2 linked regions of the Diceros bicornis minor genome follow. The protein of the gene in region 1 binds, or shares a complex with, the protein of each later gene. Links are inferred from orthologs where the notes say so. Each region holds a gene or a part of one and is shown on either strand. Other genes may lie near its edges. The genes, in order: SRC and PTPN1.

Region 1 (15,287 bases):
CCAAAACGTCACAGGGGAGAACTGGGCACTTCCCCTGGGAGTTTCTCTCTGCCTCATCAGGTGGGGCCAGAAGCAAGATGAGCTACAGGATCCCAGGCAGATGTACCTTGAGGGGCCGGCCCAGAGCAGGTGGGGAGAGGTCAAGTGCAGGACCAGCTCACCTTTGAGGGCTTTGGCTCCCAGGAGCCCTGAGCTGTGGAGCTCTGGGACCAGGCCTCGCATTGGGTGTCCAGACCAATTGGGGAGCAAAGACCCACTGTCATCAGAGGGAGCTGTGACGGCACTTTTAAAATAATCTATACTACTTTCTATTGCCTCAGTAACATGAGCACATTTAAAAATAGAAAGAAAACTGGGCCGGCCCCATGGCTTAGTGGTTAAGTGCGCGCGCTCTGCTGCTGGCGGCCCAGGTTCGGATCCCGGGTGCGCACCGACGCACCGCTTCTCTGGCCATGCTGACGCCGCGTCCCACATACAGCAACTAGAAGGATGTGCAGCTATGACATACAACTGTCTACTGGGGCTTTGGGGGGAAAAATAAATAAAATAAAATAAAAGAGAAAAAATTAAAAATAGAAACAAAACTTAAAAAATAAAGACAAGCACAAAAGAAAAAATTATTAAACTCATCTGTGATCCCCCCATCCCTGGGACGAGTGCTAGAAACATGGCAGTGTTTATCCCTTTTATTTTTCCTATGCCCACTTTTTTTTTTTAACAGAAATGGGATTACGTTGTTAATACTATAACATTTTAATTTACTAATATAGCATGAACTCTTTCCATGGCAAAATGTATAGATCTACGTTGTTATTTCTAAGGCTGCCATAGTTGACCACTCTATTAATGGAATCTTAGGTTGGCTGCACCAGAAATAATAATAATAATAATAGTAAACAGTAATATCCATTTACTGAGCATCCCGCATATGCGTGTCATGCTAATCACTAGACAGCCATGTGAGGTGGGTACAGTTACCCCCAGTTTACAAATGAGAGAAGGGAGGGTGAGCGGGGTCCAATGACTTGCCCGAGGCCACACAGCTATCGAGGTACGATTCAAAGCCAGGTCTCCACAGTGCTCTTAACCATGGTGTTCTCCCCTTTTGCCCCCTGTATTTCCACCCAGAAATTCTGATGAATTGAAGCCCTGTGTATGCATCTTACCAGTTCCACTGGGAGGGAAGCTTTATACTGGGGTCAGCAGGGTGAGGTGGGGGCAATCCTCACCACCCCTCCTGCCCATTCCCTTCAGCCTCCCTGGACATGTCATTGAACCTCTTCCCTCAGCAGCTATGGAAACAGCTCTGGCCAGAGAGGGGAAAGGACTTGCCCAAGGCCACACTGCTCAGAGGCTGCACCAGACTGGGTCCTGGCTGCCGATTCCTCACCCAGGGCGTGGACAAAGCAGGCGGGATGCACAGGACATAGAGGTTAGAGGCCCAGGCTCCAAAGGACAGGGGCTGTGCCAGTCTTGGTCACTGCTACATCTGTCCCCAACCCCAGCACAGGGCCTGCCATGCAGGAGGTGTGAATGGATAGGCCAGGACGGGGAGAGGTCTCTGTGGAAGCTTCCAGGAGGGGCCTGGGGTAGGCCGAGGAGGGCGAGTGTGGTTTGGACAAGCAGAGAGAGAGGACACCGCGGGGGGTACTGCGTAGGGAGATGTGTGGAGGTGGGAAGGAGAGAGGCTATGAGGAGGGCGGGAACAGGACAATGAGAAGACCGACCAGACACAGGGTCTGGGAGTCTGAGTGGCCAGAGTAGACCCACGGAAGCTCCTGGCCCAGCCTTTGGGGCAACCCCCCAACCACCACAGAGCCCTGCCTGGGTAATTCCTGAACAGGAACAGAAGGAGGAAGTTGTATAAGCGACACTCAGCCGGTGAGTGGGAGGCAGGGCTTGGTTTCATTTCCAGACGAGTCTTGGAGTTCCTCGGCTCCGGCGCCCGCCCCACCCTTGCCCATCGCCTGCTGTCTCTGCCCTCAGCTCAGGCAATGGTGAACCCCAAAGCCCACGGAGGCCAGGAAGGAGGCATCAAGGCCAGGAAATGGGGAAGTCCCGTCTCGTGCAGATGCCCTGGGAGAGGGGCCTGACGCGTCTCCTTCTCTGCCAGGCCAGATCGTGAATTCTGGAAGCCAGGGCTGTAGCTTCCACATCCTCCCTGCCTGGCAAACTCCTTCCCATCCTTCAAGACCCAAGTGAATGTCCCTTGTCTGGGAAGCTCCCCAAGAAACCCCTACCAGGGCAAACTAACAGATAGCTCCTTCTCTGAGCTCCAGACTCAGGCTGCACTTAAAAATAAATAAAGAGAATCACTGTTCACTGAGCACTCAGTGCACCAGGAGCTGCGCTAGATGCCTCACAGCCCCAACACTTCCCTGGGTCCTCTCAGCATCACCGAGAGTCATACCATCACCAGCTCCATCTCACCCGGCAGCACAGTGACGCGTAGCAGGGTCACATGGGTTATAGATGGTGGGACTGGCTCTTCTGGACCCAGAAGCTCGTGGCTCTCTGGCTCTCCTGCTCAGGGTGTTTCAGCATCTGTTTCCCCTACTGGCTTGAGAGCCCCCAGCGGGCAGGATCTGTGTCCTTGGACACCTGGCCCAGAGGAGGGGCTGACCCATGGACAAGCCTTTGAACCTCTCCACCTGCTTTTACCATGATGTGGACCTAGGCTGGTGCCTTGTATACAGTAAGCATTTAATAAATTCTTGTGATGTCAAGAAACTTTGATCCTGGTCCAGGCTGTCATAAACTTGCAGTAGGACCTTGGGCAAGTCACTTCCATTCTCCAGTCCTCAGTTTCCCCAGCTTTAGAAGGAAATGTTTAGAGACAGCTCTCTTGGCCTCCTGCCTGTCCTAAAATCTGTCCTTTGCTCCAGAACATAACACAGCATACACCCCACAACCAGTTTCCCCTATTATCACCATCTTACATCAGTACGGTACATGTGTCAGAACTAATGAACCAATATGGTTATATTATTAACTTAAGTCCATACTTTATTCAGAGTTTCTTTGTTTCTTCCTGGACGTCCCTTTTCACATCCAGGATCCCATCCAAGAGGCCACAGTACATTTCCTCATGTCTCCTTAGGCTCCTCTTAGCTGTGACAGTTTCTCAGACTTTCCTTGTTGTTGACCTTGACAGTTCTGAGCAGCGCTGGTCAGCTGTCCTGTAGAACGTCTCTCTGCTGGAATTTGTCTGATGTTTTTCTCACGATGACACCGGGATGACGGGTTCTGGGGAGGAAGACCGCGCAGGTGAAGTGCCATTCTCATCACATCACGTCAAGGGGACGCACCATCACCAGGACTTACCACTGTTGTCGTTGACCTTGGTCACCTGGCTGAGGCAGGCTGTCAGGCCTCTCCACTTTGTGAAGTCACCCCGCCCCATGCCGTCCTCTTTGGAAGGAGGTCACTATGGCAGCCCTCACCTAAGGAGCGGGCGGTTCTGCTCCCCTCCTGGAGGGTGGGTATAGTGTTAGCATTTTTTCTTCTTTAGTATCTACTTCTCAAAGTCCTCCCACAAAGCATTGCCACATTCCATCTTCCCGACAGGCCTGGGAAATGTGGGAGATGGAGACATTCTGCAAGGCAGAAGCCGAGGCTCGGGGAGGGGTGGGGATAGGGGCCGGGTTGGGCTCCGTGGGTCTTGCTTTTCCCTTGGACGTGAAATATGTGAAGGCCATGGCTCACAGAGGGGCAGGGCAGGACAGAACCGCGACGCCTGAGTGCCAGGCTCAGGAGGGGCTGAATTCTGCCTGGGTTTGGATTCGAGGTCCTGCCCCCCATCACTGTGTCATGTTGCCCACCTCGCCTCAGTTTCCGCATCTGTCCAATGGGGATAAAATAGCTCCCACCTCGTGCTGCTGTGAAGAATAAACTAGACGCCACACGCAGAGCCTTCAGGACAGGGCACTGCCCAGGAAACCCCGCACGCAGTGGCTGTGAGCTGTTGCTGTGATGATTATTTTTACAGTTGTTCTTTGAAGCGCTCCTGTCGCAGCCTGTCTCCTCTCTGCTCAGTGGGTTTCCAGCCCCCTCTGATCCAAGGGGTCACAGCTCTGGCTGCAGATTTCCGCCCTGCCCTCTGCCCTCCTGCCAGGCCAGGCAGATCAAGGGCCCTGGCCTCTTTTATCTTTTCTCACAAACATTCTGAGACATGGCGGAAGGAGGCCTGGGCTGGAGGGGGGCTGGCTTTGCCTCTGTATGAGCTTGGCGGAGTCTGTCTCTGGGCCTCTACTGTGGCCTGAGGGGAGTGACGTGATGAATGGCCGAGTTTCATGGCGCTCGGCCGTCACGTGAGCCTGGCGGGGCCGGGTGTCTCCCCTACTTTCATGCGGGCAGGTCACATGCCTGTGACATCCCCTGTTTTGTCTCTAGATTCTGAAGTGGGCACTCAAGCCTCAGGCTTCCCATCTGTGAACTGGCTGTGCAATTCAGAAGGGGAGGCCTTGAGGATTTTGGCCGTGTGGGCCAGTACTCGTGCTTGACCCCGCCATTTGCAGGTCACACCTGGACTCCACCCGCTCGGGTGCCCACGGTCTCCATCCCTTCCCTGGAGGGCGGATGCTGGAGGAACCTGCCTCTGAAGGAAACATGCTCACCTGCTGCCAGCCCCTCCTGACTCTCGTGGGGCCAGGGAACGCACGTCTAGTGCCCTGTGTCTTCGGCCTCCGGGCCAGCTCGGCCTCGCTCCCTGGAACATAGGTACGTGCCCACACACACTCGCCAGTGTAAGCTGGGGCGCCGCCTCGGCTGGTCCTCGGCCGGGGCTGCCGTCAGTGCAGAGGCCTCCACACTGCTCCTCCCTGGCCCCACCTGTCTCCACCCAGTGACAGCACAGATCCCCAGGCCCTTCTCTGCTCACAACGCTCCGTGGCTCCCCACTGCCTCCAGGACAGAAGCCAAACCTGGCATTCAGGGATCTTCAGGGCTCACCCCAGCCACCCTTCCCACCTCATTCCCCCCACACCAGCCCGCCCATCGTGCTGTGCTCCATTAGCACCGCACTGGTCCAAGTTCCAAACCCAGCAGTATTTTAGGCCTCTGTGTCTTTGGTCATGCTGTTCCCTCTGCCTGGAATACCCTCTCTGTCCCATTTTCACCTGCCAGCATCCCCGCAGTCTTCTACACTCTCCGTAGACGACCTCCTTCCTTCACCAGCCCCTTTCTCCAACACACATAGTGAATTAGGGCCCCTCCAGTCCCCGGTGCTGGCCCCATCACTCTGCCTAGCACACTGGTCACACTTCCCTGCTCCTCCAGGCTGCGAGCAATTCTAAGGCAGAGACCAGACCTGGTTTGTTCACTGCTGTCCCCCTAGCACCTAGCCCAGACCCTAGCACATAGTAGATGCTCAGTAAATACTGACTGACCCGAGAAAGGAAGAGTAAGGCTTAGCCAGGGGCTGTGGGGTAGACAGCATCCACGCAGAGGGACCAGCAAGTGCAGAGGCCTCTGGGCGGGAATGAGCTGCTGTGACGGAGGGACAGCAAGGATGCGGGCTTGACAAGGAGGGAAGGGGACCAGGGCCTGCAAGACAGGCCTGAGCAGCTGGCAAGGGCCAGATCGGGCTGATGCACTGAGGAACTGGACGTCTCTGTGTAAACTGTAAAGTGCAGTGCCACGGGAGGTGCCAAGCCCATTCCACAGCCTCAAGCTGGAGCCTGCCCCCTCTTCCACCTCATCCTGTAGCCCGAAGTCCAGATCATTCTGTGGCTTCGAATAGACAACTCACAGCAAACCATCTGGTGAATGACAGAGCTGGTCTGGAATTTCCCGCTGGGTGCCTGTGATGGGTCCAGCTCCTCCAAGGTGAGCTGGGCTCAGGGTGGGGTTAGCAAATAGGCCACCATCGAGCCAGAGCCACCAGGGCCCAGGGGTGCGGTGCGGGCAGTGCCTCTGATCCTAGTTCATGGGAAAGCTCTCACCTGTGGGTCTGCTGCCAGTCTTGAGGGGCCAGGCCTCGCCCCACATGCTCCATCCTGCCCTTAGTTGTGGCTTTGACCCAGGTGGGGGGAAGGAGGGAAGAAGAGGTTTCTGGAGACAGACATCTGTGTACAACCAGTGCTCACCATCTCAGCAATGTTGACATCAATAACATCTGTCACCTGTGGGTGCTTTGGGTTGGGAAATTGTGCTTCTCAGTCTTCCAGGCCTGAGACAGGGCTGTGTATACCGTCGGTGGTCAATAAGTTGCTTCCATTAACGACGATGAATGATTTGCAGGCATTAAGCAATGAGTTGCTATTTTACTAACAAACAATGTTTTAAGCAAAATAATGCACAGAGTCCCTTACTTACCCACCGGGCCAGACCAGCAACTCTCGCATCGACATCATCCTGGAGGTTGGTGGGGTTGTGGCCCCACTTTATTGATGAGTAAATTGAGGCTCAGAGAGGGCAGGGTCACACAGTCAATGAACGGAAGAGTTGGAACTTGAACTCTTGTATGTGGATCCCTAATCAGTGTGTTCTCCCCAGCCGACTGGGCAGTGTCTGCTCTGTGCTGGGCACGGGCCAGGCCACAGTCCCTGCCCTAAGGGTGGGGACTGACACACCCTGAAGGGACTTGGGGTGTGCCTCATCAGGAGTTTGTCAGGAAGCATGTCCTGGAGGTGGTGGAATTTACTCAGGGACCTGATGGCCACAGAAGGTTGGGAAGCTAGAGATACGGTGGGAGTTACAGCCTGAGCAATGGCCCAGAGGGGTGGCTGAAAATAACAAACGTTCCCAACCATCGTGCTGGCCACGTCTCCCTGAAGTGCTCGCTGAGAACCTCAGCGGCTAAGCCAAGCCCTCGAAGCCAGTGGTGGCTCCAGGGGGAAGGCTGCACCTTCCAGAGCCAAGACTTGTCCCCGTCGTCCCTGCTCCTCCAAGAGAATGTGTAGGGTACGGATAGTGAGGCCCACACGTGCTGAGCTGGCAGCACCTCATTTCATCCTCATGGGAGCCCTCTGACGGAAGTGCTGTCTTTAGCCCATTTTGCAGGTTGGCAGGCCGAGGCTCAGAGAAATGGCATGCTCAAGGTCACATATCCATGAAGTGGCAGAGATGGGACTTAACCCAGGTCTGTGGGTCCAAAGTCTGTGCTTTTAAGCTCTTTGTCATCCCAGCTCTAGACGTGGCCCAGAACTTTCAGTTGAACTCCTGGGGATGAATCTGGTGATGTGCTGGTAAATATTTAAAAGCCAGCTCTTTGGAAGGAAAAAAAGCCTTGATTTGTAGTGTTTGCTGATTTCCAAGGTGTAAATACTCCTACAGTGGCTGATGTCAAGTTATCAAAGTGACATCATTGATCCGAGAGTTGAGGAGAGATGAACACAGTCTGCTCTTGCAAGTGGTAACAGCCAGCCCCAGCACACCCCTGGGTGAGCAGCCCACCCGGCCCAGTGTGGCCAGGAAAGGCCTTCAGACACGTGTGAGGAGTGAGCGAGGGCTGAGAAATCCGCTCCTCCAGCCTGGGAAGCCATGGTTAATCTTTAAGCCAGCCTTGCCAACAAGTGCAGCCATTTCCCCAGCCCAGGCTGGCTTCTGGTGCTGGCTCTGCCGCTGACTTGCTGTGGGGCTTCAAGCTGCCCCTTCTCCCTCCGGCCTCAGTTTACCACCCGTAAGAGCTACCATTTGTTGGGCACAACCTCAGCCACCCTCACACTTGTCGGGTTTAACCTTCCCAGGAGTCCTCTGTGGCTTGTTCACTCTGTTTCATAGGCAAGGGGACTGGGCTGGGGAAATTGATGGACTCGTACGAGGTGCAGCAGGGGGGCAGCTGGCCTAGATTAGAACCAGATCAGTCCGGCTCAAGGCGGTGCTCACTCCTGGACTCCTGCACGCTGTATTGTACCCTGAGCCTTTGCCTCCCACATTCTAGGGTTCCCCTCCCAGCTCCTCTCAGGAGGAGAAGCCCAGCCTTGTGCCATTTGGCCTGGTTGGGCCTCAGTTTCCCATCTGTGAAATGGAAGAATTTCAGAGAAGGAAAGTGGAGGCAGGTGGTGGTATTTAAAGCTGGATTCAGGCCCACCTTCCCCTGTGCCATAATTCCAGGAGGACAGGTGAAAAGCCAAGGGTGGGGTGCCCGCCCCCAACAGGGCAGCCCCGGAGCCTGGGCCTGGAGGTGGTGGGGTAAGGTGGGGTCAGACAGTGGTGGAGGAGGCTTTGTGGCCTACAGCAGCATTTCCTCCAGGTCATCCCCTTTCTCTGCTATACTCCCTCGCCCCCGCGTCCAGATGTGCTTCGCCTCTTTATTTATATACTTGGAAGTGTAATTGTCACCGAATACCTGCTGCAGTCCCCTCTGAGGCGGGAATATCTGGAACTCTATGACTTCTGATGGGCAGCCTTAGTTATGTGTTTTATACACATTGAAATGAACACATATCTTATTAAAATAAATATTGCTCCTCTCCACATGGTCCCTCCTGCCCCAGTCCCCACTTTGTGAAACTCAGGTCAAGGCCAGAGTCCAAAGCCTGTTTCTTGTAGGTAACCCCTTTCTCTGTGCCACAGTTTCCCAATCTGTAAAATGGAGATAACCATCTGGCCAGCCCAGCTGCTTGTTTGGAATAGATCTTAAAAGTCGACCTGAGCCACTTAGCATGGCGCCTGGCAAGGAGTGAGCGCTCCGTTAGTGCTGGTGTTATTATTATTACTACTACTAATTGCAGGAGAGGTGGATTTGGGGTAAATAGGGTAGGTGGGTTGGGGGGAGTTAGGGAGGGCATTTTGGTTTGAGGGCGGATCGGGGGTCCGCAGGGTGGGGTGCTCTCACGGGGCGGGGTTTCTGTGCCCCAAGCCTCCGCACCCCATCCCCCGCCCCGCCCGGACGCTGGCTCGAGTGTGGGGGGGCCCGCACACGGGTCTCCTCCCGGTCACCGGCGGGGAATTCGTCCCCGCGCGCTTCCTCCTTCCTCCTCCTCCCGGAGGCCTGCCGTGCCCCTCCTCCCGGCGCGCGCGCTCCCTCCCTCCTCTTCCCCTCCCCGGGCCGCCGCCTCCTCCTCCTCCTCCCTTTCTCTCTCGATCTGTCTTTCCCGGCCCGGAATCCATTCCGGCCTGGGAGCCGGAGCGGCCAGGCCGCCGTCTGCCAGACCCCCTGGCCGTCCGGCGGGCCGCCCTCCCGTGCGTCTGTCTGCCGGTGCGCCCGCCCGCCCGTCGGCCCAGGTGAGCGCCCCCCGCCCCTCCGCGGGCGCCGAGTCCCCGCCGGCCTGGGGGAGCCCCCGCGCGGGGCCCCCCCCCCCCGGCCTCGGATCGCCGGGCCGCGGGGGCTCCGTGCACCCTCCGACCCGCACCCCCGGCCGAGCCGCGAGCCCGGAGCGCTGGGCGGGCGCACGGGGACGTGCCCGGCGCGGCCTTTTGTTGTGATGCCGCGGGAGGAGGGGGCTGGGCGGGGGCGCAGGGGTCTGTCGGCGCGGGGACCCCCTCCGGCTCACCCTCCCGCTGCGAGCCCCCTGAGAAGCAGCGAGCCGGGCCCGAGCCCCCGGCCAGCACTAGGCCAAATCTGATATCTGAGCCGGTCGGCGCCGCCTCTGGCCGCGGCTGCCCGGCCTGGCGCCCCGGCCCGGCATGGGAGGTGGAGGGGGGCCGACAGGGTGGGTCTGGGGGTACCTGGCTGGGGGCGCCCGGCCAGGCACCAGGCCCACCCTGTCCTCGTGGGGCTTCGACTAGGGCCTGGTGCCGCCGGCCTGGAAGGGACTGGGCCAGACGCTGCATGGTCCCCGCTGCCTACAGCCCCCAGCCTCGCTTCTGGGCAGGCCCAGCCGCCTGCCTGCTCAGAAGTTGGCAAAAGTTTTGGGCCCTCACCACCAAGCCCGGTCCATCTGCCTGCCTGGGCTGGGGTTGCAGTGGGTTTGAATCTCAACAGGACCACCACTTGCCCTGCTGTGTGTCCTCGGACAACTGCCTGCTCTCTCTGAGCTGGAGGTCCTCATCAGTGGCAGGTGGGCCTGGCTGGGATTACTGGGCTGGTGGAAGGATGGGCATGAAGAGAAAGGGCTCACCTGTGGGGTACCAGTTCAGCCTCTGGGGTCTCCAGGCTGACTTGAGAGTGGACAGACCATGTGTGTGTGGGCCTGGGTGAGAGCCTCAGGGACTCTGTACAATGGGGGCAGTGGTCCCTGTGTCCCCTGGGGGGAGGCCAGGCCCAGCCACAGTGCAGCTGAGGTCAGACTTGGTTTCAGTGGGCCAGGCTGGCTCTGTAGCTGACCCTCTTCTCAGCCCTCTGGCTGGGGAGACAGGACACCTAGGCTTCTCGTCTCACTGGGCGACCTGGGCCAAGGGACTGCCCTCTGAGTCTGCATATGTGGAATGGGAATCCTCAGGGGAGGAATCTGTGTGTTTTGGCTTGGTATGTAGTAGGTGCTCAATAAATGAGCGCTTCCCTGGATGAATTGCCTGAACGGGTGGAGGCGAGGTTGCTGGCCTAGTGGGGCTCATCTCCAGGAGAGGGTGGATTTGTGCCTGAAAAGCCGCCTCTTGAGAAAGAATAACCCCTTGAGAAAGAGACCACGCTGGCACAGGCCTGCCACCCAGCAGCTGTGTGAGCTCAGGCAGCTCACTGTTCCCTCTGGCCTTCGTTTCGTTAAGTGTAAAATGGGCCCGTGGTAATGACAGCTGCTGACCTCTACTGAGCGCCTCCTCTGAGGTAGGGGCTCTTGTTTATCCTCATTTTGCTGATGGAGAAACTGAGGCACAGAGAGGTGAAGTGACTGCCCCGAGGCCACACAGTTTGAAGCTGGAATCAGAACCTGGACCTTGGAGCCCCCCGTCTGGCTGCCCTCGACCCCTTCCAGGGGTGATAGAGGAGCAGGCGTTTCTCAGGACAAGACCAGGCACACGGCAGTGTCGGAAAAGACTACCCCGATGAGTGATCGCGTGGAGCCACGAGGCCCATTTGGTGAGATGGTGATGTGGTCTTTCCACCCAAGGAAGTGATTTACAGTGTGTCACCTCTCTCAGCTGACTGCCTGCCCAGGCCCTCCTGTGTGGCCCCTGGGCCTTTGCTCCTGAAGATGTCCCTGCCGGAGTGTCCTCTCATGTAGGAGCTGCTTATCTGCTCTTGTTCTTTAAGATTTAGTTTAAGGCCCACCTCTTCCAGGAAGGCCCCCCAGCTCTCTCCTCCTCTCCCCTAGCCTCTTCCTGGAGCATGAATTATCCCCAGCTCACAGCCAGTTTCTGCTTTTGCTTCTTCCCTGATGGTGACCTCGGGGGCCAGGGGTTGTCTGGCTCCTCCAAGCCCCAGGATCCAGGGAGGAGATGGCTCCATGACATGCCGACAGAACCCCCAACCCCCTGGTCCTCAATTGACCCCATTTCCCCAAACCTGCCTAAATGCAAGCCTCCGTGACCTTGTATTGAGCACTTACTGTGTCCTAGGAGCTTTGAACTCAGGCCAGCAGTGTGGTGATGGGGTGAGCAGTGGGAGCTGTGGGGAGGCATCCGGAGGCTTCCAGGAGGTGGTGCTGAGGGGGGGCAGCAGTTTGCTCAACAAAGGAGGGACGAGAGTGCTCTCTCTTCCCTTCTGTTCAGACACTTCCCTGGGGTTGTGGGGAGTGGTCAGCCTGGGTGGGTCCTTGCAGAGGAATGGTGAACGTCCCTGGCCTTCCAGAAGTTTGAGTCTAGAGGGTGAGCCAAGTAGCAAACAAGTTGCCAAATAAATGAATATATAATCGCAGATGTGATAAGGGCTCAGAGGGAGAGGCGTGGGATGCAGAGGAATCTTGAAGGAAGCACGTAGGAGTTGGCCAGGCATGGAGCTAGGGGCAGGGCTTACCAGGCAGAGGGGATGGCATGTGCAAAGGCCCTGAGGTGGGGAGTGTGTGCTGTTGTGGAGGAACAATGGGAAAGCCTGTGAATCTGGAGCACAGAGAATTAGGGGGAGGGGGTGAGAGGTGAAATGAGGGGTGTTCACAGCAGGGCTGGACCCTGTGGGCTGTGTGGGCCTTGGGGAGGAGTTTGGCCTTCATCTTCACACAAGGGGCTGATTAGTGTCCGCTCTGTGAACAGCCCCATGCTGGAGGCTTGAGTACAGAGCTGTCCAACACATCTGGTGGAAATAGATCTGTGGGCTGGACTCCAAGTATTCTGCAGGGGCCTAGATCAGGTGTCAAGAGGAAGGGCATTTAAGGCTGGGCTTTGAAAGTAGAATAGGAGTTCACTGGCAGGAAGGCAGGAGAGGGTGAGAGCCCGGGGTTGGGGAAGTGCAATGCAGGGTGGCTGGAGGCTGGGAGTGAGGTGGGGAGTGGTGGGGGCGGGGGGAGGCGGTCAGCTGGAGACCAAAGTACCGTCAGGGCTCACGAGTCAGACAGGTCTAGGTTCACGTTCTGACGGTCTCCACTTGTGTGTCTTTGGGTCATTCCCTGTATCTTTCTGAGACTTAGTTTCCTTGTCTTGAAAATGGGGACGATATTTCCCTGTCAGGTGAGGGCTGAAGCAGGGCTGTATGCCCAGTGCCTGGCACCAGTAGGTCCTCAGGAAATGGGGCCTGCCTTGTGTGGTGCTGCACTGGGCAGGTCGATCGGCCCCATGGGTCTGGCCTCACCAGCTGTGTGGTGAAGGCTTTGAGTGGGTGATCTCACTGAGCCTGAAGGGGCTGCTCTGGGCAGGACTGGCCTAGGAAAGGATGCTGGCAGCAAGGCGTCCACGTGCTGGGCGATGTGAGTCCTGCTCTGCCCTCTCTGTGCGAGGAGGCTGCACTGGGGAGAGCCCTGTGGTCTAGCTTAGCCCAGCTTTTGGAAGCCTGCCTTAGGTGAGATTGGTCCATTTTCCAGATGTAAACACTAAGACCCAGAGAGGAGAAGCCACTTGCCTAGGGTCTCCTGGTTGCTGAGTGACAAGGTGAACCTAGGCTGGAGGGCTCTGCAGGGCTCGTGTCCCTGCAGGCCTTAGAGCTCCTTCAAAGGGCCTCCCCCCTGCTCTGGGCCTCTTGCCGGAGCCTCATTCCTGCCTCGGTCACGTGGCCCCCGCGCCTCTATCTTCCATTGGGTTCCCGCAGCCCTTTACTTCCCCTCCGCTGCTCCTACCCCCTTATCTCCGAGGTGAACTGCTCAGGTTTCCACTTGAGCCCCTGGGGGAGCACTTCCCCTGGGGCGCCTCAGTTTCCTCATCTATGAAGTGGGATAATATGAGTCACGATTCCCAGGATGTCCCGAGAGCACTGAAGTACAGCGTTTAGCGCACGTTAACTCGATAAATAGGGCGGACAAGGACCAGACATGGACTTGAGTCCTTCCTTCTCTGGCGGCTGACACCCCCTTCCTGTGACTCGGTTTCGAAAGCTGTCAGATGGGCATAGGACTTGCACCTAGTAGGGCCAAGGGGAGGGTGGGGTGAAGCTGTTCCTCAGGCCCTCATGCTGGCTGGCTCTGGGTCCCTGTTTCTGGGGAAGGTGCCCCAGGAGACGGCTCCCCTGTGTTCAAGGTCCCGTTGCCAGCTGTGTGTCCAAAGGCAGAGCACTAAGGCCCTCTGAACCTGAGCCTCTGCATACCTCATTGTGAGGATAAAATCAGCTGATGTCTCTCAGCAGTTTGAATCTACTGGATGCTCAGGAAATGTTACCTCTTTCTCCCTTCCCCTCCCTCGTGGGGGCTCAGACATTACCCAGTCTAGGGATGGCCCAGGGCTCATATCCCCCAGACCTGGATTGCTGTGTTGAGACACTCTGAGGCCCAGTCTTGGCTTCATGGGAAAGAGTGATGTGATAGACTAGTAATGTATGCCACGGGCAGAGGATTAGGGAGTGTTGTATGAGGGCTGTGAGTTTGTCATTCCTGATGTATTCTGACCTGCTCTTTTCACACATGGGAGACTGAGGCCAGAAAGACCCAGGTCATGTTATCTAAGCTGGGCGAGAAATGCACATTTCTTGTCTTTTGATCCAGGGCTCTCCCCACCCAGCCAGCCTGCCCTTCCCACAGGACAGCCAGGTGGGGTAGATGACTGGGGAATATCCCAGTGCTGGAAGCCGGAACCCCCATTTCCCCTGTCCTTGCTGTGAGACCTTGAGCACATAACGTTCCCCCCAACATGGACCCCAGTCCCTCTCCTCCCCTTGGAACTACCCAGAGAAGTTCTACAATGAAGTGAAGCCAGAGGGGAGGAGAAGCTGGATGATCTGGGCCACTGTCTTCCTGCTTTGGTCCTCAGTTTCCTGGTCTGTACGGTGAGGGCTCTTCCCTCCCAGAGGCTCTGTGACAGGAATCCTGGCTGGGAAGTCTTCCGGGGGCGGGCCAGCTGAGTCCTCTCTGATGCCCGTGTTGGGTGGAGATGCTGTTGAGAGACTGTGGGAATGGGTCCTTTGGGTCCTCAGACCCGCTGGGCTGCGAGGCCAGGACGGGCAGACACCAGTGCTGGGGAGGGAAGCTCGACCTCCCCCGTCAAGGTCTGATTATCTTCTCTTGGGCTGCTTTGTCCAAATCTGCGGCCTTGACTTTTACTCTGATGTCGATGTCCTCACGTTGCGCCCTCCCCAGCCAGGTCATAGCAGGGTGACCCATTCCATCCCTTGCGCCATCATGGGTGGGCAGAACTTTTGTTTTATGACGTAGAAGAGGAACTGAGGCTCAGAGAGGCCGAGGGCTAGGGCACGGTCACCCAGCACCGTGAAGTGTGAGCCCAGCCTTCTGGCTTCTGGGTGATTTGTGGCGTCTCACTCCCAGCGCGTGTGCACCAGCTGGGCTGAAGTCTTTCCCCAGGCTTAGGGTGGCGTGTTGCTGGGGCATGTGATCCTGACTCTCTGGCTTCCAGCTCTGACTGAGGGATCTCCACTTGGATCTGGGGTTCTGGGATCGTGCAGGGAACCTCCAGCTCCCAGGATTGGCATATCGGGGTGCTCAATGGATGGTCATGGCATAAAGGGAGTGGAAATAGCAAGGCCTTGGGAGCCAGTTGGTTCTGGGTTTGAATCCTGGCTCTGGCACTTGTTTGCTGTGTCTGTGGGAAAATGATTGCTCTGAGCCTTAGTTTCCCCAGTTGTGGAATGGAGATGACAGTGCTGGGACCAGCTGTGACAGGGTGATGTGAGGATCAGATGGACTAACGTGTGTCTGCTCTGGTGCAGGGCCTGCACGCAGTATGTGCTTTGTGTTTCTGAGTGCCTGTGATTGGGAAGGGGATTCCCTGACGAGGCGGGAATTCTGACCTCAGCAGCCCAATTGACATGGGAATCCCCGGGGCTGGGACTGGACACCTGTGTCCGTGGCGGGCTTGTCCTGTGGGGCGGAGCTGGAGGGAAGGTTAACTAGAGACAGACAAGTTTGGTGACCGGATTGATTGGAAGCCACCAG
Region 2 (15,791 bases), about 11 Mb from region 1:
ATGGCATATCTAGCTGCAAGGGAAGCTGGGAAATATAGTCTTTAGCTGAGCAGCCATGTGCACAGCTATAATCCTATTTCTATGAAAGAAGAGGAGAATTGATATTGGGGACACTAAATATATTACCTCAAAGCTAGGATGAGCCCATAGCAGGGAACAAAAGTTTACTGAAGCTATGGGGATAACAATGAAGAGAAGGAAAACGCAAAATGAAATTGTAAATAAATAGCTTCTAGGGCCCAGGTACCTGCATTGCGCTGTCCCTCATGCTGGTCTTCACCCTCCTTTCTCTCCAGCCTGCCACCATGTTGTGGGGGCCAGCCTACCTTCCCTGGAGGGAGGCTTCTTGCCCTTTCTCTTTAGAATTTAGAGCCCTCTTCTTCCTCGCCTTCCCCAGATACAAGCAGTGGGACTATCCGGTCCTTCAGAGGAACGCTCCATCCAGCGTGTGGTTCCCCACGGCCCAGGGGAGGCCAGCATGAGAGTCGTAAGCACATTCCCCCAAGCCTGGGTCCCTCTGCTCTTGTTCACTCCAAGTGTGGGTCCTCTCCATGGGTCTCCCTCCAGCACAAGGGGAAGAATATTTCAGGCCAGCCGCCCCCCACCACCGCTCCCCACACAGTTGGGTCTCAAATGGAACACCATTTCTATCTTCAAATACAAAAACTACGGGAGCAAATTCTTGATCAAAAAGATACACATCTCTTCCAAGGACTACCAGGAACACTTCTATCTAAACGTAACCTTGGAAGTTAACTTCTTTTCTCTAAAAGGCTACCGTCCTGCTACAGACACACTCAACTTACAGACATTATGCCGACAGTGCTGTGTGGTAGTAGACAAGTTACATAACCACGCTGTTTCCTCATCTATGAAATGAGGTTAATGACAGACCCTCTCACAAGGTTGTTGGGACGATCTAGGGAGATTATGGAGGTAAAGTGCTAGTTAGCAGAGAGCCTCGCTCACAGTAAACACCCAATACATGTAGCTATTACAATTATTATTACTAAACAAGAGTGAACAACTCAATACAGGGAATCTGTATCTGGAGAAGGTCACTGTGTTAGGACTTCCCCCGAGAGCAGTGGTTCCTCCCAGAATAAAGGAGAAAGACCATTTCCAACTTCAAAGACAGCAGCTGCTTCTACCCCCCTTCAAGAATTTGAAAATCTAGACCTCGTCTCCAGAACTGCCTACATAATTTGCAAAGTCCAGTGCAACATGAATATGCAGGGCCCCTTGTTCAAAAATTATTAAGAATTTCAAGACAGCAACAGCAGAGCATTAAACCAAGTGCAAGGCCCCTCTGAGCGCAGGGCCCGGTGCACCTGGCCAGATTGCACACACGCCCCCGAAGCTTGCCCTGCTCACCTCCACCAGCAGGACAAAAACTAGAGATGCAAAACAGCAGGTTGCAACATATACTACGAAAACATCTGGAGGCAGATGGGAGCCTGCTTTTTCCACTCAGCAACCTACACAACCTTAATAACAACAGCCACATTTATTAGGTCCTTGCCATGAACTAGAGACCATGCTGAGACACCATCTCATCCAACCAGCACATCCCTGCCTTAATGTAAAAGGTAATGTAAAGATCAGAGAGGGTAAGAAACCTGTCCAAGGACACACAGCCCAAGTCAGCCAGATTCCAGGACCTGCACCCAGAACCACCATGTGTGCGATAGGAGTGTCCCCCTACCTCCAACCCTCTAAACTGGAGGGCATCACAGTGACCTCTGAAACCCTCCCAGACTCCTGCTTTGCTGAGAGCATGGGGCCAGGTCTAGTTTCCATCTTGGATCTAACTTCCCTCCTCCAACCTTTCCCCAGGCCTCTAAGCCTCCTTTCTCAGAACACACGTGACCCTCCTAGTTCCCCCTGGGCGCCTTCTCCTCCCCGCACTGGGCAGTCACCCTTGCAGGACAGGCAGCTCTGTATTAGATTTATGTATTTAGTGGATGGAGTAAAGTCTAAAATATTCTCTGGGGGTGGAGGGGTGAGGGAGTCTTCATAAGGCTGAGGAAGAACCCAGTGAGGATGCGAGTGAGGATCTTCTGGGGTGCTCACCTTCCTGAGAGTTCTGAAACACTGCAGAACTCGTACGTCTTAGTAGAATGTCAGAACTGGAAGCAGCCCCTAGAGCTAAACTGGGTTCAAAGCCTGGTTCCACCATTTCTTAGCTGTGTGACCAGAGGCAAGTTGCTTAACCTTTCTGTGCCTCAGTTCAAATGTGGGATAATAATAGTACAGGCTTCACCATGTTGTTGTAAGTAATAATTATGTTTACTATTATTATCTCTTCATTGTTGTTATTATTTGTTTAGAGCTCATGAGAGTTCTTGGAGAGACTGGAGAGCATCACGGCTGAGAGCACAGATGCTGAAACCAGACTGCCTATATCTAAATCCCACTTCACTACTTATAGCTGTGTGACCTTGGTTAAGAAATTGACCTCTCTGGGCCTCAGTTTCTTCATTTGCCAATATTTCCCTTGGACAGAGAGACTGGCTTAGAGATGGCTTCTGAGACTCAACTGGACCAATGAGATTGAAGGCCAGGACTTGTGCTGGGACCACCAGGGAAAAGAAGCCCTCTTTTCTTTGGGGTTGCTGAGCTGGCAGGATGTGAGCCTGGCACTGCTGGGGCCATCCTGGTTCCCTCAGGAGGAAAGCCTGCCTGAGAGTGAATCTAACACATGGGGGAAGCAGATAGAGCTGGAGAGAGAGAGAGTCATGATGACACGGTTGGAGCCCCTGGATACGGCTGTGCCTGAAGCAAGCCCCTATTGGACTTCCCAGTTTCGTGAGGCCATAAATTCCCCATTTTGTGAAAGCCACTTTCAGTTGGGTTTTTCTTACTGGAAACCATCCGGGCTGACCCCAGGAGGTTAAGCAACTTGCCCAAGGCCTGAAAGCTAGTAAGTAGCAGACACAGGGTTTAGAAGCTTTTACCTGCTGTGCTCAGGCCAGCACTCTGTATTTGGATGTTCATTGATTTCACTTCCTTATCCTCTCTGAGCAGCCATTTTCTCATCTGCAAAATGGGATAACACGAGGCTTGCAGGGCTGCTGGGAAATGTAAAATGCAAGATAACACTGTTGCCTAGCGCTGCCGTGGCTGGAGGCGGAAGCTCTGTGAACCCAGTTTCCGGTGCTGTGGGCCTGGGCGTGGTCCCGGGCGAGTTATCCCAGCTCAGGGAATGTCTCTGGCTGACCCCACATCAGCCAACCAGTCCAGGCGCCCAAACTCTGCTAGGAGAGCGTGTGTGAGTCTCAGAGGGAAGGGCCACTTCCCTTCCTGGCTGTGTGTCCTCCCTGGTGGACAGAGGGAGCTGGATGATGAGGACCCTCGAGCTGAGTCCACGAGGTGGAAAGAAGCCCTGTCATCTTGGTTTCTGGAACCTTCCAAGGACTCATGGTCTCATCTGGGAATGACTCGTAGCTCAAGGAAGACAGCATTGATCCAAATCGACTTAGTTTCTTTTCTTCACGCACTTTACATTTAGTAGTGGAGACGGCCGATAAACACATGAAACAAACACATTACATAACACCACGTGGTAACAGGGGTAGAAGGTACATCCTCCAATGCCTGATAAGTGCTAAGCAGAAAAAGGACGGAGTGACAGGGCTCTGTTTATTAGGAGGCGTCAGGAGGGGCCTCCCTGCGGAAGTGACAGTTCATCAGGGACCAGTTTGCTCTGGCTCTGCCTCCCCAGCTCTCAACACTGCTCTGTCTCCCAGAAAAGAGACTGGGACGAATTTTACTGGGAAACTTGCTGACACTGCTGAGTTAGGAGTTGATGATCCATTGGAGGCTTGGTAAACAGCCATCCCTCTCCACCAACAACTCTTTCGGACATTTTTAAAAGTTTAATGAGTCATTGATTTCCTCCATTAGCTAAATCCTTGAAGGGAAGGCCTGAGAAGCCGCGTGAGACCATCCTCAGGCACGCCTGCCAGGAAAAGGTTTTAGCTATCACGACACACTGCCATTTGTTTATTTTCTAACCAGTCATCACCGACAGATTCCCAATCATCACTATCACATCTCCGGAGGATACCAGGGCTTGGCTGGTTCTAGGCCAAGCCTTGGCTGGGAACCGGCAGAGGTTTCCAGATGAAAGCTAAGCCTCGGAGAGTCAAGGAGGATCCCAGCACCTCGGGCCCCTCCTCCAGGCCAAATATCAGGTGCTTGGAACACGGACGAGAAGTTGAGGGCCCTGCCCTCATGGAACATTAAAATGGGGGGCAGGAAAAGGGAGCAAGCCAACAAATAAACAAACGGGAATTTTAGACAGAGAAGAGTGCAATGATGCAAAAAACAAGGTCTGTGGTAGAGAGTGACTGGGGGCTATTGTAGAGAGGGTGGTCAGAAGATCTGTCGGTAGAGGTGACATTTGACCCGAAACCTGAAAGGTGAGAAGATCTGCAAGAATGGTCCGGAGGCTAGACAGGAACAGGTAGAGGGAACAGCTGGTGCAAAGGTCCTGAGGTGGAAACTAGTTTGAAACATTAGAGGACTGGACTGGAGTGGAGTACAAGAAGAGAAGAGAGTTTGAGGAGGTGGGCAGGGACAAGGTCACATGGGTCTTATGGGCCAGGGTCAGGACTTTATTTGGGTTTCATTCTAAAAAAGATAGGAAACTATTGGAGGATTTTACATAGAAGAGTTTCATGATCCAAATATTAAAATCTCTCTCTGGCTGCTGCTATGTGAAGAACGGATATAATGGTGATTAGCTGATACCTGAAATTAGGGGTTTCCTTCAGAATCAGTATTTGTGACAAAGTTTCACCCTCTGCCACTATAGTAGGTTGAGTGGGGGCCCCCCAAAAAGGTATGTCCAAGTCTTCACCCTCAGAACCTGGAACATGACCTTATTCAGAAAACGTCTCTTTGCAGATGTAATTAATTTAAGGATCTCAAAATGAGAGCATCTTGGATTACCTGGGACAGCCAAATCATCCTGGATTAGGGTGGGTCTTGAATTCAATGACAGGCATCCTTATAAGAGTGAGGCTGAGGGAAATCCGACAGATGGAAAAGACACAGAGAAGAAAACCACGCAAAAACCATGAAAAACCTGGAGTGATGCTGCCACGAGCCACCAGGAGCTTCAAGAAGGATTCTCTCCGAGAGCCTTCAGAGTGAGTGTGGCCCTGTCAACACCTCGATCTCAGACTTCTGGCCGCCAGAACTTTGCAAATACATTTCTGTTGTTTTAAGCCAACAAATTTGTGGTGATTTGTTACAGCAGCCCTAGGAAACTAACACAGTCACTAAACAGCCCAAACTTGAACCCTGCTTTAGCCTCCTGTAGCCCCCTCTCCCCCACCAAGATCCTGTGCATAGCCTTGGCCCCACTCAAAGGCCACTGCAGTCACTGGGTGGCCCTCCCTGCGGGCCTAAGGGCCACTTGGGCTCCAGATGGGCATTTTATTTATTTACTGACTTAGCTCAGCCCACAGAGATACGAATGAGCCCACCCTGTTCTCTCTTCCCCCAAGGAGCTCTCAGCCCTGTGAGTTCAGACAAACTAGCACTCAGATAAACCAGGGCAGGAAGAGAACATCAGCCTGGAGAGTCACTAACATGGCTAAGGCATAAATTAGGCAGCTTCCAAGTGTGGGTTTCCCAAACTTTTCACCAGAATGGGCTTCTGTTAATTTCCCCACCATGGAATACTCAGTTTCTAAAGACATTGCCTATCAAACCAATTGCATTTATTCAATAAGAATTTATTTACCTCTCCATTTGCAATTATTCGAAGGTGTATAATAATGAGGGCTATTTATTGATCTACTCACTATACTAAAAGCATTATATTTACCCCTTCAATCTTCACATTGCCCCTACGAGGCAGGTACTTCTATTATCCTCATTTTACAAAGGAGAGAAGAGAGGCAGAGAGAGGTCAAGTAATTTGCCCAAGGTTGCACAGCTAGTATGTAGTAAAGCTGGAATTTGGACCCAGGCAGCCTGGCTCCAAAGCAAGCACTCCCCTGGAGACTAGATTAGAATGCTGGCTTCCACACCAATGACCAGTGCTACTCTGGACAGTGATTTTTGCCTCCCTGTGCCTCAGTTTCCTCATCTATATGATGGGAACAGTAATAGTGCCTGTATTGTAGGGTTGTTGGAGAGGTTAAATGAGAATGTGTACACAGAATGCCATGCACAGTGCCTGCCAAAAGCACTCAAGGAATGAGCTGGAATTCAACCAGTGACCCCAGGCAGCTGCTCTGGGCAGGCTTGAGACGGGAACAGTGAACAGAGATTCGGTCTTCTAGGTTCTCTGAGGTGATGGAGTTCACAATCTCCATACCATGTGCCAGGCTGGGAGCTGGATGGCTTGAGGTGGAACCCGCAGAAAGGCAACCTGATCAGCCCTTCTCATATGTGCTTCAAGGACCACAGGTATAGAATTAGCTGGGGTTGCTGGTGAAAAATACAGATTCCTGGTATCTGAACCCTTTGGAAGTGGGTCCAGAAATCTGCGTTATTGAACACACTGATGCACCATGGAATGGGTGCTCTACTGAGTCCAGTCTGAGCAGGATTTCCTTGCTACTCTGGGAAATATTGAAAATCATCCCAAGACCCCCATCCATTCTCTCCTATGGCGCCCAGGATAGGAGACCCCCAAGGGAAATCTTCCGTTTCACGCAAGGACAGTACCCTCAGAGAGCAATAGGCCTTCCCCAGCAGCCTGGTGAAGCACGAAAAAAGGGCAGATATCTAACCAGAGGCGGGAGGCAGGAAGTGGAGCATGCAGCCCTCCGCCCATACTCCAGCATGGAGCACTGAGGCCAGTGCCCTGGGGCTGCAGGAAACATGCATGACCACTTCAAGGTCACTGTGTGACTCAACGGGCGGCATCGAGGCTTGAACTCAAGATCCGCCGGGCCATTGCAAACCCACCCGCCGTGGGCGGGGCTCCCGGGGGTTGCCTAGACAACGGCGCCCGCCACGCCCATGCCGGGAGTCCCGCAGGGGAGAAGGCAGCGCACGCTGCGAGATGTCTCGCGGGGCTGCGGCTACTTCCCTCGGCACCTCCCCCGGCCCCGCCCCGCGGAAGTGCTTGCCGACATTCTCGAGCGCTGATTGGTCCTCCCGCTTGAGGGGCGGAGCCCGCGGCAGCGCGGTGCGTACTTCCGGCTGCCGGGTTGACATGAAGAAGCAGCGGCGGCTAGGGCGGCGGTAGCGGCGGGAGTGGAGGCGCGGTGCGCTCGGGGCCGAGAGGGCGACGCGGCCTAGAGCGGCGGACGGCGCAGCGGGCCGAGGAGGAGGCGCGGCAGCCGCCCTGGCCCGTCATGGAGATGGAGAAGGAGTTCGAGCAGATCGACAAGGCCGGGAGCTGGGCGGCCATTTACCAGGTGCGGGAGCGCCCGGCGCGCGGCGGCCCTTCGCTTAGGCCGCGCGGACCTTCCGCGAGACCCCGGCCCCGCTCTGCCCCGGGCCGCCCTCCGCCTCGGCCGGCCGCCCGAGGGTTCGCCCCGACGGCGGGGGGCCGGCCCCCTCTCCCTTTGTCCCCGGCGGGCCTGCGTCTCGCGGCCCCCCGAGCCCCCACCCACCCCGTATCCCCCGCCCGGTGACCCCTCGGGCCCGGCGGCCGCCCGCCGGTGCTCTCGGCGCCGGTCCTCGCACCCTGACCCCCGCCCCCCGCCTGTCCACCCTTTGTCCCCTGGGGTCGCTGGAACACCCCCACCACTTCCTTTCCTGGGCTGGACCACCTCGTCCTCTTTTCCTTTGTCTCCCTGGGGGAAAGGCTTTCTCTCCTCCCTCCTTCACGTTTCCTCTTCTCTAGTCTCTGTGCGTCGAGTCCCGGGGATGACAGTCCCTTCCCCCTTCCTGTTCATTCATTTCATGGAGGTGAATTGGCCTGCCTGTTCCGTGCTGGGCACTGCCTAGGCGCTGGAGGTAATGTTTGCCGGACAAGAGGACAAGACCCCCTCCCCCCTGGAGCTTAGAGTTGAATAGGGCAGTGAAACACGTCAGCAGGTAATTTCAGGTGGTGACAAGTGCTGGGAAGGAAACGAAACATCATAATGGGGTGGAGAGTGACTGCATAGAAGGTGGGCTGCCTCGGAGAGGGGCGTCAGGGAAGACCTGTCAGAGGAAGGGACGTTTGCTCGTGAGCTGAATGAGGAGCTGCAGCAAGCCCTGAGCATATCAGGCTAGAGAGCTTTCCGGCCAGAAGGCCTGCGGTACCCACTCCACTGGGGCCACGGTATTTCCCTTTCAGGCAGGCAACAGGGAAGGTTAACGTTTTTGCCCCATCTAAAAATAGCATCTCTCCCCGGTGAGCATCTTGTCTTTTGGTCATGGCTGAGATGATTGTGTCTTTCTAGTCTTCATCTCCTTGTGGGTTATGGGGGTTCATAAATAAAAAGTTAGGAAGATAGGATTTCTCACATGTCTCTACAACATCAGATTAAAGACGCGAAGAGATCTGCTTTCACAAGCAGTTAAGTCCTCTAAAGAAAATATGTGCTCCCGATTAAATGTCATTGCGGGGGTTGTGAAGATTAACCAAAACCACACTCGGTATTTTAAATGGGCGATCTGCAGAATAGAGAGATTTTGTTACTTGTGTAAAGGGAGAAGGCAGTTTATTCTGCTTTTAGCTTATAGGCTCAAAAGGCAAATTGTGAGATCCATCAGCTGGTAGTGTTAAAATCTATTTTGAGCTCCACTTAAAAAGGAAAAAAGCTTTAAGCCGGTCTTTGGTATGCTTGACTAACAAAAGCCTTGTTTTTGGCAGGCTGGGTTTCATGTGGATTTGCATCAAGCTTATTTGACAGGATTCTTTTTACTTGGACTGTAATGTGTATTAACTTCTGATAGACTAATATTTATAACCACTGTAATCTGTATAAGTACGATCGATCAATATATAAAATTTGTATTCTGGATCTAGTCTCTCTGAGTTAGTTGAATGAATTCCGCTAGTGACTTTGAGAATGTGTAGATAAATTTTCTGCATCCAGTTTAATGCAGTGGAGTCTCAAGTGGCTTTAAATGAAAAAATTGTGGGTCTAAAGTGTTCGAGTTGATTATGATTTACCCCATCACAAGTGGAGGTGGCTTCCAGGAGGCATGGGGACATTGAGTTGGCAACAACAAATTCATATTATAAAAAGTTCTTGGTTGAATTTGATTTCTTAGTATTTTAGGGCAGAGTCTACCTGTCACCCAAGCATTGTTAAAACTGTGTGAAGCATGCCGCTAGCGAGAAGCCTGTTGGTCTTCAGTTAATTTCCCTCCTTGTTCTTGTCTGTCTACCAAGGAGTTAGTCAGTTTGCTGTGTGTTGAGATTTCCCCAGCTTCTTAATGCATTGCCACGTTCCTGCAAGTGGTTTCTTTTGATCTTAGAGAATTGTCCACTATGGGCTTTCTCATCTCTACTGTACAGATATTTTTTTTTCTAAAATTGCAATGAGAAGCTCTTCTCCTTTTTGACTTTAAAAGTGGCTCTTTATTGGGCAACTGTGGCATTTTTAGAAACGTAGAGTTCAAATGACCTTGAGTCTAAAGTGGCATAGTTTCCAAAGTGTGTGTCAATTTACCAAAACTGTTATTTTTCAAGAATTCAAAGAAATGTGTTTATGGGTGGTAGAAAATGGCAGTTAAAAAAATTAATATTTTTTAGCATGTCACAATGTGGGCAGACTTATACAAAGTCATTTTGAGCTTGCTTAGTCTATTGTTATTAGAAGAATAACATGTAATTTTTGCCTAAAATTTTGTAAACAAGGCAGTGCAATTATTTCTCACTGTACTTCTATCTAGAACAAAAAGATGCAAAAACTTGGAAACAATTGGGAAAAGAACAAAGGGTGAAGTAGACTTTCAAATGCTGAGGAATGTGGTAGCTTAGAAAACAAATGTTTCAGACAAAGAGTCTCCACTTACGCTCGCTCACTTTGATAAAGTGAGCATAAGTTTTAATTGTCTTAATTTTAATTGTTAATGCTAATAAACAGCATAGATACTAATAAGCATTCAGGTCTATAAAAAGTCAGCGTTGGCATATGTAGATGGCTTTAAAATTGTTTTCTGTCATTTAAACAATTGTATGTCTGGTTTGAAAAGTGGAAGTAATATTTAGTGAGCTGGAGCTTGCGTTGGTTTGATTGTCCGAAAGAGGAGAGAACACAGACCGGGAAAAGGGATTGGTTTTTGCAGCTAAAATGAGAGAAGAGGGGGCCGGAATGAATGAAAACGGCTCAGAAGCTGCCCTCCATTTGTAATTTACAGTTGGGGTCAGGTGTTTTTCTGTTTCTCTCATCTCTGATTCTTTGATTTCTCTGACACTGTTCTGTTCGCTACTTTTTGTTGTGAATGATTTGATTGTTTTCAGATAAAGGAGATTGTAACAATAGCTCGTGACTTGAGGACAAGATTTATTCCGTGTTAGAGGCAGGCTTTGTAAAATGGGCCACTCTTCCCCTTGACATTTGTTTTTGTAGCTGCTTTTATCATGAAATACGATGTGATGCCTGACTAGGTTGAAGCCATGTTATAACAGTAGTTATTCCTCACTGCTGCATACAGCTCATGTTGTTATAGTCCAGCAAGATGAATATTAAAATATCCCTATGATGTTTATTTAAATAACATTCTCTACAGAGGAAAACTGTTTTGTGCAGAGGAGAAAGATCTATACACTGTGACTCACTGTACTTGAAAAAAAAAAAGACAAACGGAAATGACATGGAGAGATTGGGAAGTTCTAGTCATCTTGGGTGACCCACTAGATCTAAATGTTCTTCTTTAGCCCTGGTTTGAGTGAACTAAATTTAGGTGTCTGATCATCACGTTGGAAATGGTGTAAAGACCTTTGTAATTGTCTGCACTCATATTAAATTAACTGGAGCAGAAGTAGAAATGGTGGAGGGAAGAACTTTTTCTATCATTGTTTGTTTGCCAGCACTGGCATATTTATAGGAATACTCTGGTATTTTTGGAAGTACAGAAACAAAAGCCGGCTGGGGGATAATGGTAGCGCAAACGATTTTCAGTTACTAGTTATCTCTCATTGGGCTCCATGGCCTCCCCACTGCATTTTGCTTTTCAGCATGAATAGCTCCTCCAAAACCTATAAAATTATCTGGTATTTAATAATGTAACAATGTATACTGAATTTCATGATAGAAACAAATTTAAAAATTTCCTGTAGGGGTTTTTCAGACTATAAACTGATGAAATAACTCTTTTCTTTCTTTCGTTCTTTTCTTTTCTTTTTTTTTTTTTTTGAATTGTCTGTTTTCTGATCTTTTGGATTGAAGAATGCTTTTGGCAGTTTTGTCCTATGCTGTACTTTTAATTGCAGGTACTTTTCTCGTAAGCCTCCCTGGGCCCATTTATGCTTTGCATGAGCTGGCATTCCTCCCCCCAGTGTTGAGGTTAATTCGTTCATGGTGACCAACTCATAATACTGACAAATGGGCTGGGTGTGCTTCTTTATACTGCCCACATTCAGCAAGATGGGAAGTCTAGCGGGGTCGTTGTTTCCAAGACAGTGTAGTTTGGTACCAGTCATTTGATGTGCAGTTTTGAATATCGAGGAGTGCTGGGGACTTGGCCAGTTCTTGATTCCCTCTGCCACATTTCATTGATTGGTCACCGTGGCATCCTTTCTACTACCCCCGTGGTCTGGGTTCTCCAGTTTTGCCTATAATACTCCTGTAACACTGCTGTTGTTCCTAGTTTCACCCCACAGAAATGAGTGAAACCAGTAACGTACTAATATGGCCCCTCAGCAGTCTGTCCACATCTCCCCTCAACCCTGCTATGTATATGCTTCACATGATCACTAGAGTAATTCCCTTAAAACAGACCTGAGCCTCTTCCTCCTCTGTGTAACTACTCCTAGTGCTGTCATAGTACCCGTAAGATTCAGACCCCTGGGCATGGCAGCTGGGTTCAGCCATCCCCTTTTCTGTACCTTCTGTTCTGGCCACACCAGCAGCGTTCTCCAGACTGATCCTTTCATTCCTCTGTACCTTGGCTCAGCACTTTCTCTAGGCTGCCTTTCCCACTCATCTGGCTTGCTTCTCCCAGCTCAGATGTGTGCCTCCTCGCACTAGATTTTTGCTCTCTCACCTGTGTGTTTCCGTACGGCTGCGTGCGTGTCTCTCCTAAAGCGCTGCTCTGGTGGGAGCTGTTTCTTTGTATCCAGGCCTGTCTTCTCTTGAGTCCCAGCTGTTGGGGTCAGCTCTTTCATCTTTCTCGTTCACCATGGCGTCCTCTACCCTTGGCACACAGTGCGGAAGAAACGTTGGGGTTGAGTTGGTTGACAGCACTTTGCCAGCCCCTGACAATACAAAGATGAACAAGACATGGTTCCCAGCTCCCATTCTGGGTGGGAAGGAGTGGTAGAAATAGTTAGATCAGGCTGCTTTAGTACTTACAGCAGAGGTCCCTCTGGGAGAGAACCACCACATTTTGAGCCATGGCCTGATGAGGCGACTTAGTATTGCCTACTGTGGTGGCCTGGAAGAAAGGCTTGAGTCTTACCCAGTAGAAGTTGATACCACAAGTTTGTTTCTCAGGAACTTTAAATTTAACAGCAAATTTGTACTTGGCCTGAGGTGAACTTAGGAAACTGAGAGGTGATATCGCTGTCTCTCTAAGAATTATTGAATTGCTCTCTCCTCATCACTCTTGACCTGTTCCCACATGCCTTCTAGAAGGGCTTTGCATGTCATTTGTTTGTAAAACATTTTTTGACTGGGATATAAAATATGGTTCTTAATAAAGTAACAACCCTTACCAAGTCTGTGATTTTTTTCAAAGTATAAATGGTAAAGGCAGACATTTTTGGCCTTTGATCAGACCACCCTTTGGGCCAAGAGAGTAGTTTAATCTTTTGCGTTTTCTCTGGTCTCAGCTCTAATGCCAGCAACGCTGACGAGGTCCCTTCCTTTCTTTGGCTTCAGTCCTTTCCTTTGTAAAAATGCTCCTGGACTAACTGATCACTAAGTTCATGTCAAGTAATAAAAGTCTTTAATGTACTCACGAGAGAATTTAATGTGCCCGAAGGAATCTTTGTAAACGCTGCAGTGGTTACTCAGTTTTGTAAGGTGTGTGGGTGTCAGTGGGTGCAGTTAGGCTCAAAAATTTATAGGAGTTTTGTGAGTATAGTGAAAGATTCAAAAGAAGTGAGTCTTTTTTTCCCAAGAGTTTTATTTCCCCAAATTAAACATTTTTAATAAGTAGGGTTCATTTGATATAGTAATGTGGGAAAATGAGTAGCACTGACATAGGAGTTACGCTTGCAGTTTTTCTCTAAGTAGCAATTGGGTGGTTTTTCCTGTAAAAGATAGAGGAACTGATTCTTGAGAATTTACGAAAGATTCAGCCCCAGCTAGGTACGTGAAGAGTAGCTGCCCTTTATGTTGTAATTTTAGAAAGAAACCTACATCTGGTCTAAACTTCATTTGAATAGTATAATAGTTTACACAGCTGCCATGTTTGAGAAGAAAGTACCTAAGTCTCCAGTATTTGAAATAATGCTTTACTTTTTAGAAGTGGGCTTCATAGTTCATTAGCTGCTGCCCTCTCCTTCAAGGCAGCTTGACAGAATCACGAGTATCTTACTGGCAGTTTGTAAGTTTTGCATGTCTGAAAACTGGAAACAAGACCATTTCACGTGGAAGATTATTTTTTCCCTGAAATAAATAGCCAAAGAAAATCTGGCCCCCCCAAATCAGTTGATCTTTGGGATGTGGTACAGGTCACACTGCAGACAAAATTATAACTACTGATGAATGATTTTCAGTATTTTTTTTTAAATGTGTGATATGATTCACTTTGCAGTTCTGAATGCTCATGATTCTACCAAGGCAGTAAAATTTTATGGATACCCCGTGGTACTTAGAATTGGTGCTGCAAGAAATTGGTTCTGCATTATGGACTCACAAAGTAAACATGGCTTCTTTAGCAAAGTGACGCTTAAGGTCTGTATTTTCTCTGGAAACTATGTATTCCCTGCTACTCTTATCCTAGTAGTGTGCCAGGAAATCCTGAGTCCTAACTGAGGCTTAAGCACTAGTTGAAGTAAACCTTTGGACCCAGGTAGACTTGTGTCCTGGGCCCCTTCTCTTCTACTTGTAGAGGTTTCTTCTCAAGACTGAGTGCGGTGTGTTTTCTCTCACAGATGAAGAAGGAAAAGCCTCGGCTGTGCCTGTGGCTTTTGTGGGTGAGCGACACCACTTGCACAGATAAGATGAGCATAGCAAAGCTGTTTCCACAGTTGTGTTTTTTTAATGTATTAGTTAGTGATTAGAGAAGGAAAGCTCTTTGTTATCTCCATTACTCTGTTATGAAACGTTTCTCCACTGACTTTTTCTCTTACTTTATGGATCTTTGATTGGTACATCTTTTCCTTTTGAAGAATCTCATTTGAAAAATGCCACAATGAGTTCCAGCAAACAGCTTCACTAGTTTTTATTCTGATGAGTACTGATTACTCAGAGAATTATACACTATTGGAGATTGCTTACAGGAAAAGAGAACATCAAGTAATTATTCCACATAGTTGGAGTTCTCTTAAGAACAGGGGGTTACTTAAAAATGTCTGTGGATGAAATCACTTCTGAATATAACTTTGCTCAAGAAAACAAGTAGGCAGGCTGCATTTAGCATAGTACGGGAAATTAGCTTTAAATTCCCCTGATGGTTGAACATTTGTCACTGTTATATTTATCACTTTTAGATTTTGTACTGCTTCACTATTTAAATAGTCAGGGCGTAGTTTGCTTCTGTAAGGATAAAGGCAAAGTGTGCCTTCACTGGGTCATACATATTTGTGTGGCTCCCTTGTGCACAGAGAGAAGGGACCTCGAAGAAGATATTCAGTGGTCTTTTTTAGGGGAGGATATATTGTTTTGTGTTTTTTTGTTGCCGTTGTTTTGCTTTGTTTTTACCCTGATTTGAACTGTATTTTAACAGCATCTTAGAGTTAAGAGAAGAGCATTGCCATTATTATTCTCCACCACCTGGTTGTCACCCGCATGTTGCCAGGGTCGCTTGGATCATCCTCAGGTGGGGTGAAGGGTTGAAGCAGAATGGTGCAAGATCAGGAAGTTGCGTTAAGCCACATCAGATTTACAGGCACAAAGCCACGTTTCTGGAGCAATCCCCAGTACACCAGGTGATTTAGCCACAGTTAAGGATCAGCTGGTCTACATCTCTCTTGAACATTCTTGGAGAATCAACATCCCCAAGAAGCTGGGTTTTAATGGGTTCTTTAAGTACCTATCATGGTGCCATTTCTAAGTATATTTAAATATTCCTTCGTGTCCTACTAACAGTTTTCTTAATATATCCTAGGAATATTAGTGTCATTAGCAATATTTTATTTCATCTGTTCTCATCACAGTACCCAAGTTTGCTACTTTCCCTTATTTTTCTACCTGCTGATATGAATGCTTTTAAGAGTTTGAGTAACCCTGTGGAGGAGTGCACAGTGGTAGTTGGTAGATTCTTTACTTTACTCATCTTAACCACTTGTTTCCATCCTTTGTGAGTTTGAATTTCCCCAGAAAACTTATCAAAACATAGTCATCATGCAGAGAGAATCACTGTAAAAGTAAAGTTTAGCAAACCTAGTACCTTTTTTTTTCACGAACGCATATTTGTCAACTAAGCTTCCTTTTGCAACTTGTTCCGCTGCTTGATGACAACAAGCTTTTGTGTTTCTCAACAGACTTTGTTCATTGGAAGATTTTGCTTTTGAAAGTTGGAAGTAAATGGCTTCAGGAGGTGGAGGCAAG

Evidence for each region.
Region 2: the proteins of SRC (region 1) and PTPN1 are in contact, whole or in part, in a crystal structure (PDB 3ZMQ), measured with the Homo sapiens proteins. The link is inferred for Diceros bicornis minor from reciprocal best matches to the Homo sapiens genes SRC and PTPN1. Residues at the interface, in NP_005408.1 of Homo sapiens: Glu527, Gln529, Tyr530, Gln531, Pro532; in NP_002818.1 of Homo sapiens: Arg45, Tyr46, Arg47, Asp48, Val49, Asp181, Phe182, Ser216, Ala217, Gly218, Ile219, Gly220, Arg221, Ser222, Gln262.

The regions. Positions count from the first base shown.
Region 1 is NC_080758.1:22,733,187-22,748,473, reverse strand, and holds the start of SRC (proto-oncogene tyrosine-protein kinase Src), read left to right. Parts: upstream 1-8,987; 5' UTR 8,988-9,168; intron 9,169-15,287. UniProt on the Homo sapiens protein: Non-receptor protein tyrosine kinase which is activated following engagement of many different classes of cellular receptors including immune response receptors, integrins and other adhesion receptors, receptor protein tyrosine kinases, G protein-coupled receptors as well as cytokine receptors.
Region 2 is NC_080758.1:11,632,760-11,648,550, reverse strand, and holds the start of PTPN1 (tyrosine-protein phosphatase non-receptor type 1), read left to right. Parts: upstream 1-7,205; 5' UTR 7,206-7,322; coding exon of another isoform or gene 7,323-7,385; intron 7,386-15,791. UniProt on the Homo sapiens protein: Tyrosine-protein phosphatase which acts as a regulator of endoplasmic reticulum unfolded protein response. Mediates dephosphorylation of EIF2AK3/PERK; inactivating the protein kinase activity of EIF2AK3/PERK.